3 linked regions of the Oryzias latipes genome follow. The protein of the gene in region 3 purifies or fractionates together with the protein of the main gene of each other region. This does not show direct contact. Links are inferred from orthologs where the notes say so. Each region holds a gene or a part of one and is shown on either strand. Other genes may lie near its edges.

Region 1 (4,181 bases), on a different chromosome or scaffold from region 3:
CAATAACTTGTTGCTTTTAAATCTGTAAACTCTGATTAAGTGAAATAAATTAAGTGAAACTGGGAACTCTTTTACTTTTTGCTAAAAACTATAAGAATTATGTTTTTCATCCGATTTCAAAGAATTTTAGATAAATACTCAGTCTATTCCTAAATTTTAAAAAGCAACACAAAAGAAAATAGGGTTTTATTTGAATAAAACAGTTTGGCAAGACAATATGGTAGAAGTGTGGGCATGAAGAACTGCAGAAGAACAAAAGTTTGTACATATAGGTTTAAGGAAGAGGAGAAATTAATCTTTTTTTTTTTTAATTGTCTGTCAGTCTGCCTCAGAGCAGCAGTGGATACATCAGTAGTTACAACCAAGCATGAAGGAATAAAGGACCCATTATAAGCACTTTTACCGTCTGGAAAAGCACAGATAAGTCCAATCCATTATTATTATTACGTTTTTTATAAAATAAATGGAATTTCAGTGCAGCATGAAACCTGCCTGTCCTGTCCTGATGAAGAGCAGATGATGAGAGGACCTCCGCTCTGGGGTTTTCCATGTGAGCCTGGAGCTACAGCTGGAAGAACATAACCCTGTTTCACCTTTTGGAAAAATAAGTTTTCCAAAAACATAGTTTGTATTTAAACCGTGGTATGATGACGTCACGCCGCTGCCCATCACATCTGCTGCAGTGGTAAACAACAAACTCTACTGATGCATAAACCACAGGTTTTATCTGTAGAAGAAAATGTCTCCACAGCAGGTACTCGGACTAAAACACTCCAGACATTTTCAAAGAAATAAAAGAATAAGGATGTTGGCTCATAAATGATGTGCATGGAGTTCCTGTTTTTGTTAATAAAGACATTGCTTTTAACCAGTGAGTTTGTTTGGAAAGATCTGTTTAAAAAAGCTTTTACGGCAAATGATTTATTTTTATTTGACAAATAAACTATGCATTGTTTTAAGCATGGCTAACATGTGGCACATGTCAAGTTTAATGATCCTCCTCAAAACCATGGTTTTAACCCTTTTTCTAATACGTACACAAACTTAGAAAGGTATATTTTCCAAAACATGAAAACATTTTTTGAATATAAAATTATAGCGTCTAAAAATGTTTGAAGTAAAAATAGAATTTATCTATAGTTAAAACTGTCAGACTTTTAATCTAGAAGATTCCTTCCTGCGCAGGGAACTTCCGGTCCCGCCTGAGCGGAAGCTCGATCGGATTGGACATTTCACTTGTCATTTAAAAGGGATTGCTCCAATTGGTCAAATCGGCCATGGGCGGAGTTTTGTTTCCAGGAAGTGCCAAGCGTGATCAGAGCCTCTCACTGCCGCGCCGAGGGAAGTTTTCTCTTGTTTCTACCAAAAGTCTTTCTTCTTTTTCTGAATCCACCACCAACATGGGCGATGAGGAGGAGAAGTATGACGGCATGTTGCTGGTTATGGCGCAGCAGCACGAAGGAGGAGTGCAGGAGGTGCGTAGATCCGAGATGCTAACGCCGAAGCTAATCATGATGGGCTGAAATGCTGAGGAGCCGCAGCACCTGGTCAACATTGACACCGTTAGGAAGTCTGGAGGATTTTCAGTTTCAAATCCACATTGCTTTGAGCTCATTTAACTATTCTGCTATGAAAAAGTCGTTTCCTTACGGAGATCCCCACTAAACGTTCAGTTTCCTTCAATTTGATGTTTTTTGACCGGATACTATACCTGTGTATTCTCAGTAATGGACATAACATCTTTCAAAACTTTGCTCTTGAGAACCAGTAATTTAAATAAGCTTTACTTTAGAAATATCTTAACCTTATCATAATTGACCAGACATTTGTCTCTTTCTTAAAGTTCAGCTTTTTCAGCCTTCTTGGAGCATGTTTACGTCAGAAGTCCAGAGTTTTAGTCTGCAATCAGCCTCCAGTTAGCAGCTTTAGTTACTGACTGCAAAGCAATTCCATGTTCTCAAAAGGAAATTCATATATTTGTTCTTTTTCTGGACTAAATGACTGTTTTTCATCAACCTCAGTGGTGAATTGATTCATTTTTAAAATCTGAATTATAAAATAACCTAATAGGATTTCTGTCTGTTCCTCAATGTTAAATTCCTCATGTCAGATACTTGAAAAAATGACATCAAAATGACTATTTGACTGTATTGTGTGTAGCAGAAGTCTTTTTGCCCTTTGTGTGGTAAGTTAAGGTTTTGTTAGGAATAATCGTTGCTGGGGAAATAGAAAAAATATACTTTTTCTGAAACATTTGGAATGTTTAAATTTAAAGCCTGAGGCGACGGTTTAATCCCAAAGTGTCCAGGTGAGTTGGGTGTGGAGGACAGAGAGGCTTTGTGGTTGAGAGCTCTGCACCGTCCTCTGCAGAAAACCTTGGCCTGAGCTCACAGCCTGCTTTTGCTTCAACAGTTAGTGAACACGTTCTTCAGCTTCCTCCGACGTAAAACAGATTTCTTCATCGGAGGAGACTCTGGTGCAGCAGAGAAGGTGAGCGGAGCTTCTGCCTGTTGGAGATGGACGGACGTGTTGTCCTCCGTTCACCAGCCTCTCTGTCCTCTTTCAGCTGGTCAAAGAAGCCTTCGATCACCACAACAAGTTAGCCATGAAGGCCCAGAGGGAGAAGCAGATGAGACAGGAGAAGGAAAAGAAGGAGAAAGCTGAAAGAGCCGCCAAGCTGGCAGAGGAGGAGGAGGAGAGGAGGAAAAACCAAGATGGACCCAGAATTCAGGAACTGACAGACGAAGAAGCAGAGAAACTGCAGTCTGAGCTGGACAAAGTAAACTCTTTGATTCTTTATGAAGGTTGATTTAAAGAAAACAAGTTCCGCTGTGATGTTCACCTTTCTGTGTTTTTAAAAGCAAAAAGACGACGAAAAGGAGGAGGGACGAGCAAACGCAGAGAAAACGCCGGACAAGGCAGACAAAGAGAAGGGGGTGAGTGGCGCTCTGCTGGTGATGAAGAGGACAGCTTCATCTCAGGCTTCATCTCTGGCTTTTTCTGTGTTTCAGTCTGATTCTGAGGAAGAGGAGGACGAGAAGGACAAGGGAAAGCTGAAGCCAAACTCTGGGAATGGAGCAGATCTGCCCAACTACAAGTGGACGCAGACGCTGTCTGAAGTCGATGTGAGTTCTTCATGATTCACACACACAATACATAAAATGGTGAACGCATGGAAAGGAACACGAAGGCCCCCGTCACTAAAGGCTGAATCCGCCCCCGTCACTTAAGGCCGACTCCGCCCCCGTCACTTAAGGCCGACTCCGCCCCCGTCACTTAAGGCCGACTCCGCCCCCGTCACTTAAGGCCGACTCCGCCCCCGTCACTTAAGGCCGACTCCGCCCCCGTCACTTAAGGCCGACTCCGCCCACGTCACTTAAGGCCGACTCCGCCCACGTCACTTAAGGCCGACACCGCCCACGTCACTTAAGGCCGACTCCGCCCACGTCACTTAAGGCCGACTCCGCCCCCGTCACTTAAGGCCGACTCCGCCCCCGTCACTAAAGGCCGACTCCGCCCAGACAATAAATGCCGACTCCGCCCCCGTCACTAAAGGTCGACTCCGCCCCGGTCACTAAAGGCCGACTCCGCCCCCGTCACTTAAGGCCGACTCCGCCCCCGTCACTTAAGGCCGACTCCGCCCCCGTCACTGAAGGCCGACTCCGCCCCCGTCACTGAAGGCCGACTCCGCCCCCGTCACTGAAGGCCGACTCCGCCCCCGTCACTGAAGGCCGACTCCGCCCCCGTCACTGAAGGCCGACTCCGCCCCCGTCACTGAAGGCCGACTCCGCCCCCGTCACTGAAGGCCGACTCCGCCCCCGTCACTGAAGGCCGACTCCGCCCCGGTCACTGAAGGCCGACTCCGCCCCCGTCACTGAAGGCCGGCTCCTCCCCCGTCACTGAAGGCCGACTCCGCCCCCGTCACTGAAGGCCGGCTCCTCCCCCGTCACTGAAGGCCGACTCCGCCCCCGTCACTGAAGGCCGACTCCGCCCCCGTCACTGAAGGCCGACTCCGCCCCCGTCACTGAAGGCCGACTCCGCCCCCGTCACTGAAGGCCGACTCCGCCCCCGTCACTGAAGGCCGACTCCGCCCCCGTCACTGAAGGCCGGCTCCGCCCCCGTCACTGAAGGCCGGCTCCTCCCCCGTCACTGAAGGCCGGCTCCTCCCCCGTCACTGAAGG
Region 2 (4,309 bases), on a different chromosome or scaffold from region 3:
GGTATTCTTCCATGTGATTACAAAGACCTAGAGTGTTCGTTGATTCCGTAAAAAATACAGCGTGCTTTTAATTTTTGACATCCAGATATAGAGATTCTATACAAATACTTTTTTTTTTCAACAAAATTTTGACACATTTTTAGAATTTAGACAATTACTAAACGGAAGCTCGTAGATGTAGTTTTTGCTGTATCTTAAATAACCGCTAGATGGCAGCAAAAATCAAATACGATTGATTTTATTCTTAGTTTTGTTTTTAATATAATAAATTTATAACGTTTAGATTTTACCTCCTTGGCCAATCAAAATATTGTGCATGCTATTCCACTATAACTTTTTATCTGTTGATATAAATAATTACATATTTTTCTGGAGGAGCACAGTTAGTTCGAGAAGGAGCGCCGCGGAGGGATCTTGTCCTGCACTGAAACTCATGAGCATATAGATTCGGCGTGCAGCTCCAGAATCCTCCTTTCTTTTTCCTGCGTCAGTGAGCGGCAGGGATAGCACTTTTGTTGCATTTTATTCAAGAAAAGCCAACATAAGAAACAAGGTATGTCTTGGTAATTCACTTCATATTGAGGGAAACCAAACTTTAAATGGTTTATTATTATTCTACACCGAATGTTGAGTCATTTAACGGGTTTTTTTGTTATTTGATTTCGATTCACGTGGTTTGTTTAACCTTGATTCATCGATTAAAAGCATTTCTGACATAGCGGGTTTACTATTCTTAATTAGTAATGGGCTTTAGGTTAAATCTTGTACTAGTGACCGAAAATAAGTGGTGGGCTTTTGCCGCATCTTGTAGGCAGACAGAAGGTATGGAGATTTATTATTGTGAAGGTTGGTTGTACCTGACTGTTTAAAGAATAACATTACCATAGTTTAACGAGCGATTGACGTGTCTTTGTGTATATTTTGCCAACGAAGGATTCTAGATGGACTACTAGTTTAGAATCTTACACCCAGAGTGTGTACATCATGTACATCTTGCATAACCGACACAGGAGTGCTCGTGGTTTTTCGGGGTGATGGTAGTTTTGGGGGCTATTTTTTTGCAGTAAAGCTCCTGAGCGATAATCCAAAATCGTTCGATCTTGATATTCACGGAAGCTTCGGGTTTTTTCGGTTTTAGTCGGCACGTGCTTGCAGCGTCCATTGTCCATGCCTCGCCGCCATGTTTCGCTGCACTTCCGCCCGTATGTTGTAATCTGATGGCAGGGATCCGACTCTGAACCGGTTTCTGAATTGTGGTAGTTTATGGTTTAAAATTATTCATTAAAAAAAATTAAACTAAAAACTACAATCTTAGTAAAATAATTGGCAGTTTATTACCGTATTTTGCGTATTTGTAAGATGTTGTGCTTTTATTTTGGCGTTTCCTGTTGGTTCATCCCATTATTAGTCTGACGCTGTTTGTTGCAAACCTGTTATTTCTTATGCAGATGCCTGAAGAAATGCACCAAGAGGAGGAGGCTGAGACCTTTGCCTTCCAGGCAGAGATTGCTCAGCTGATGTCCCTGATCATCAACACCTTTTATTCCAACAAAGAGATCTTCCTCAGGGAGCTGATCTCCAATGCCTCTGATGTAAGTCTGCAGCAGTTTACGTAACATCGTATCACCTCTGTGTCAATACAGTGAAATATCTTGACGCTGAATTATTTTTAGGCTCTGGACAAAATCCGCTATGAAAGCTTAACTGATCCCTCCAAGCTGGACAGCGGCAAGGATCTGAAAATCGACATCATCCCCAACAAGGCTGACCGCACCTTGACCATTGTTGACACTGGAATTGGCATGACCAAGGCTGACCTTATCAACAACCTGGGTACCATTGCAAAGTCTGGGACAAAGGCTTTCATGGAAGCCCTTCAGGTATTAATATAAACAGGCATAAAGGGGAAAAATACATATACACATTTATATATTTTTTTAGCAGAAGTGAATACAAATTGTGGAACTTTGCCGTTTTCTTCAGGCTGGAGCCGACATCTCCATGATTGGTCAGTTCGGTGTGGGATTTTACTCTGCCTACCTCGTCGCTGAGAGGGTGGTGGTTATCACCAAGCACAACGACGATGAACAGTACGCCTGGGAGTCCTCTGCTGGGGGATCCTTTACCGTCAAGGTCGACAGTGGTATGGATCTTCAAATATTATAATTATGGTGCAACAAACTAAAATCTGACTGTGAAACATTTGTTAACCTCTACAACACTGTTCTCAGGCGAGCCCATTGGCCGTGGAACAAAGATCATCCTGCACCTTAAAGAAGACCAAACGGAGTACATTGAGGAGAAGAGGGTCAAAGAGATCGTGAAGAAGCATTCTCAGTTCATCGGCTACCCCATCACCCTCTTTGTAAGTGATTTGTTTGTTTTTTTACAAACATATTTCTCACTAATAGAAGCTTATGTGGAGTTGTACGTGGTTTATCTATAGGTGGAGAAAGAACGTGACAAGGAGATCAGTGATGATGAGGCAGAGGAGGAAAAAGAAGAGAAGGAGACCAAGGAGGAAGGTGAGGACAAGCCAAAGATTGAGGATGTGGGCTCAGATGATGAAGAAGACGCTAAAGACAAGGGCAAGAAGAAGAAGAAGATCAAGGAGAAGTACATTGACCAGGAAGAGCTGAATAAGACCAAGCCCATCTGGACCAGAAACCCTGATGACATCACGAGTGAGGAGTACGGCGAGTTCTACAAGAGCCTCACAAACGACTGGGAGGATCACCTCGCTGTGAAGGTAAAATAGAGGTTTGGGTGTCTTCTGATCGGCTGATGGAACCTCGTGCTGACGTGTGTTTCTCTTTTAGCACTTTTCAGTGGAAGGTCAGCTGGAATTCAGGGCTCTGCTCTTTGTTCCTCGTCGTGCACCTTTTGACCTCTTTGAGAACAAGAAGAAGAAGAACAACATCAAGCTGTACGTCAGGAGAGTCTTCATCATGGACAACTGTGAAGAGCTCATCCCAGAGTACCTGAGTAAGTTTTAAATCTCTGTTCCACCGGATCTGAAAGGAAATGCACAGCAGCTTTAAAACGTTTTTGTTTGTTTACAACAGACTTCATCCGTGGAGTGGTGGACTCTGAAGACCTGCCCCTCAACATTTCAAGAGAAATGCTGCAGCAGAGCAAGATCTTGAAAGTAATCCGCAAAAACATTGTCAAGAAGTGCCTGGAGCTGTTCGGAGAGCTGGCAGAAGACAAAGAAAACTACAAGAAATTCTATGAAGGTTTCTCAAAGAACATCAAGGTATCTCAAACATATCTGAAGCTTTTCTAAATGATGCCTATAAACTGATGGATTTTTTTTTTCCTGTAAACTTTTAAGGTGTGAAAATAAATCGACACATATTTAGCGTGAAGCCTTGGAATTGGGCAACGCTTGCTGCATTACCCAGAATTTAGTTGAGTAAATCGATCACAACTTTTATGTTCACAGCTCGGCATCCATGAGGATTCTCAGAACCGTAAGAAGCTGTCTGAGCTGCTGCGCTACCACAGCTCCCAGTCTGGAGATGAAATGACTTCCCTCACAGAGTACCTTTCTCGCATGAAGGAGAACCAGAAATCCATTTACTACATCACTGGTAGGTTTGGCTTCCAGTCCATATGTTCTTTTGTTGATTCTTTTGGCACGACTTAAGTTTTTGTTTTTTGCCTCTGAAGGTGAAAGCAAGGACCAGGTTGCCAACTCTGCTTTCGTGGAGCGCGTCCGCAAGCGTGGCTTCGAGGTCCTGTACATGACCGAGCCCATCGACGAGTACTGTGTTCAGCAGCTGAAGGAGTTTGATGGCAAGAACCTGGTTTCTGTCACCAAAGAGGGCTTGGAGCTGCCAGAGGATGAGGAGGAAAAGAAGAAGATGGAGGATGACAAGGCCAAGTTTGAGAACCTCTGCAAGCTCATGAAAGAGATTCTGGACAAGAAAGTAGAGAAGGTTGGTCTCAAATAAGAAACTGTGCTTTTGCTCCTCATTTCTTCACCATCATTTCCTTAACTTCAGTGGTGTTTTGTTTGGAAACAGGTTTCCTAGTGGTAACTACTTATATTGGTGAGTTCATACAGAGTAGAAGTGGCCTGTAGAGTTTCTAGCGTTGCCTGATATTTGAGTTGAAAGGGTTTGGTTTTGCAAGAGCCTGATAAGTCTGACAGCGACGTGAGTTCTAACAATGTTTGTCTTTTGAGGCTGTGTCTAACACTCGATGAAATCAGCATCACACAAACGGCCTGAACCGCATGCGTGTATTGCATTCCAGTGGTCGGTTTTCTCAAACCGATGCTTACCTTCATGCCTTCTACAGGTGA
Region 3 (2,924 bases):
CACTCTAATTCAGATTTGTTGGATTCTCACACATTTTGTTAAAGTTTCAAGTTCTGAGCTTTTGCTCCCCTGTGAGATGCAACAGTGAGGATACCGTAGATCATTTAAAGCTTCACTCACAGCTTTTTGAGAAACTTGATGTTTGACCACGTCTCTCTTCCACAGAGTCGGTCCTTTGTGTTGGTCTGAACGGAGAGGTGAAGAACCTCCATCATCTTCCTCAGCAGACCACTTTCTTCCATGAGATTGAATCTATAGGTAAGAACAAGCAGCTTCAAACTGCAGGTGATTTCTTGCTGTAATTCTTTCCACAAGTGCTTTTTTTTTTTTTGGTTTAGTTACCTGGAAATTTTTAACAATCTGACGTTTTGTTATTTATAAGAGTGGGACATTTAAGATGTATAATTTGGCTTTAAACGTTATTAAACAAGCGGTTGGAGATCCCGTTTCTCCAGTTTTCTCACGGTTTTTGTCTCATCAGTGTTTTTTGAAGACACCCTCCTGACAGTTTGGCGCCATGGTTGGCAGAGGAGAGGAAAAGGTTTCACGGAGGTGCTGGAGGAATTGACTGACCCCCGAAAAATCTACAGAATGGTGAAGTCCCACAGGTACAGCTTTGGACATCTGTTGCTTTCACGTTAGCATAATTCGAGCAGCATTTCTAGAAAGTTGGTACAGTCCGTCTAACGGTCCTGTAAGGCAATGGTCCCCAACCCCCGGGGCGGCAGACCGGTACCGGTTCGTGGGTCATTTGGTACCAGGCCGCACAGAAAGAATAAATAACTTACATTACTGCCGTTTTATTCATTTCAGAATCTGAAAGATGTTTTATTTTGAAAAATCGCCTGATTCTCTTTTACATCCGCTAAAAAAAAAAACCAGGCGCTAGCAAAATGAGTAAAAAACAAACGTCTTTGGAAAGTTTATTTGCCAAGGGGAAAAGACCCAGCCAGGAGACAAAGAGGAGCCTTCGACTTTCAAAAACAAAAGCTACATTTAATAGACAGTACTTCATTTTTGCACCATGAGTGTGGGAAGGGGAGAGGATGATGACACCTGTGCGATGTACGAAAACATGCCTATTTATTTAGAGGCTCAGAGCTCGTCTTATCACGTCTCTGTTCCTCCTTCATCGTAGCGTTGCTGCAATAATCCTCCGCCACATCTTAAAGATGCTTTGTAAAAAGGAGTCAAAGCTTTGTATGACGTCATACCGGTCCGCGGCGTTAAAACGGTTGGGGACCACTGCTGTACGGTGATTCAAATAATTCATTATTTCTATTTCTTGCTTCTAAAGACCATAAGCTTGTATTTTTATAGACAAGAAAGTATATTTATGTGCTGACAAACTCATTCATCTTCTAAATACCTCAAAGATTTAAGTAAGTAAAACATGAAATTCATTTGGATCTTATTGATTTGAGAATTTTTTTTGTAATAAAATGTACTAAAAATCAAAATATCACCAAGATGCCAGCCATATGATACAATATAAAAGAAACCCTCATAACACTCCTATTATTTAATCAACAATAAAATAAAGATAATAAAAGTCTGTTGTAAGTATGGTTGCTAAGTCAAATATGATTATTTACTTTGATGTAGAGACACAGAAATGTCTAATCATGTTTATCAGTGGAAGACTAAACAATAATTCCGTGGTTGCTATGACCCATAATCCTTTGGGAGGATGTAACATCATTGTATCCTTTCATGACTAGACTTTAGTGCTGACATTAGTGGCGTAAAGAGAGGTTTGATTTTTGGTGTCTAAACGTCTGGACCATCTCTGCATAAAAATGGGACTTCTCTCACTGCAGGACCGTCGTCATGGAAACCCATCCAGTAGAGGACCAATCAGGTCTGTCCAACCTGTACGTCCTGGAAATCGCTGAGAAGTATGTGCTGCTGCCATGACCCAGTGCATCATGGGAAACTCCCCACGTTGGAGACTGGCACTGTCAGCCGTTGAAGGGAGACAAAAACAGGAGGCCTTGACATTCTTTCAACGCAGATGCGACCATACCTCTGGATTCTACCTGCTAACCTGTGGAGAAACCCGATGAGATCGTAGTGTCCCCCTCATCCCTATGTTGCTGTTATTTATGCTGTTTTTGTTTTTCACTTGAGATCCAAAAAATGTGAGGAGTATTCCTGAGTCACGAAAAAAAAAAGTGTTGTGCTGACCCTGAAGAGTCACCGTCCTCCTGCCAAAGTATTATTGATCACAGCCTGCAGGGACTCATGCGGCCTCCTTGATGACAGAAGAACTTAAAGGAGCAGAGCCTGCTGGGGGCTCGTGCTGTGCTTTGTGACCTGAGCCTGTGTTCCTGCCATTACACTCAAATAAAGATCACACATTTGAAGGATGCTTGATTTGTACACATCTTTAATTAAATTGTTTGTCCACTTGAAGTGGAAAATAGTGAGAGTGATACCAAAATATGTGTCTCTCATAGCAATGGTAGTCTCATTTGAACAGTGAAAAACAGACACATCAGGAGGAATTTTGGTCCACTATTCTTTACAAATGACTTCTAAATCATTCAGATTTAGTGGCTGTTGCTTGGCATCTCTGAGCGTCAGCTTTTCTATAGGTTTTTTCTATAGGGTTGAGGTCCGGAGACTGTTTTGACCGCTCCGTGACCTTAAGCCATTCCTTGGTTGTCTTGGCTGTTGGTTTTGGGTCATTATCCTGTTGGAAGACTCACCCATGACCCACTTTAAGCCTCCTGGTGGAGGGAAGGAGGTTCTCACTCATGATTTGACAGTACATGACTCCGCCCATCCTCCCATCCACACGGTGCAGAGAAACACAGCCGAAAACATAATCCTTCCACCTCCATGCTTGACAGTGGGGGTGGTGTTCTTGGTGTCGTAGGCAGCCTTTTTCTCTTCCTCCAAACACGACGGGCTGAGTTGAT

The links.
Region 1: the proteins of mitogen-activated protein kinase kinase kinase kinase 5 (region 3) and nudc purify together in Homo sapiens (affinity purification with mass spectrometry; 3 studies listed by BioGRID and IntAct, with this or other methods). This does not show direct contact. The link is inferred for Oryzias latipes from reciprocal best matches to the Homo sapiens genes MAP4K1 and NUDC.
Region 2: the proteins of mitogen-activated protein kinase kinase kinase kinase 5 (region 3) and hsp90ab1 purify together in Homo sapiens (affinity purification with mass spectrometry; 3 studies listed by BioGRID and IntAct, with this or other methods). This does not show direct contact. The link is inferred for Oryzias latipes from reciprocal best matches to the Homo sapiens genes MAP4K1 and HSP90AB1.

The regions. Positions count from the first base shown.
Region 1 is NC_019869.2:25,831,811-25,835,991, forward strand, and holds the start of nudc (nuclear migration protein nudC), read left to right. Parts: upstream 1-1,278; 5' UTR 1,279-1,400; coding exon 1,401-1,475; intron 1,476-2,412; coding exon 2,413-2,490; intron 2,491-2,566; coding exon 2,567-2,779; intron 2,780-2,861; coding exon 2,862-2,936; intron 2,937-3,011; coding exon 3,012-3,125; intron 3,126-4,181. UniProt on the Homo sapiens protein: Plays a role in neurogenesis and neuronal migration. Necessary for correct formation of mitotic spindles and chromosome separation during mitosis. Necessary for cytokinesis and cell proliferation.
Region 2 is NC_019882.2:5,881,903-5,886,211, forward strand, and holds the start of hsp90ab1 (heat shock protein HSP 90-beta), read left to right. Parts: upstream 1-1,442; coding exon 1,443-1,592; intron 1,593-1,673; coding exon 1,674-1,880; intron 1,881-1,983; coding exon 1,984-2,143; intron 2,144-2,231; coding exon 2,232-2,365; intron 2,366-2,446; coding exon 2,447-2,749; intron 2,750-2,819; coding exon 2,820-2,985; intron 2,986-3,065; coding exon 3,066-3,256; intron 3,257-3,445; coding exon 3,446-3,593; intron 3,594-3,672; coding exon 3,673-3,941; intron 3,942-4,028; exon of another isoform or gene 4,029-4,055; intron 4,056-4,305; coding exon 4,306-4,309. UniProt on the Homo sapiens protein: Molecular chaperone that promotes the maturation, structural maintenance and proper regulation of specific target proteins involved for instance in cell cycle control and signal transduction. Undergoes a functional cycle linked to its ATPase activity.
Region 3 is NC_019871.2:4,865,068-4,867,991, forward strand, and holds the end of mitogen-activated protein kinase kinase kinase kinase 5, read left to right. Parts: intron 1-165; coding exon 166-258; intron 259-481; coding exon 482-608; intron 609-1,820; coding exon 1,821-1,917; 3' UTR 1,918-2,371; downstream 2,372-2,924. UniProt on the Homo sapiens protein: Serine/threonine-protein kinase, which plays a role in the response to environmental stress. Appears to act upstream of the JUN N-terminal pathway.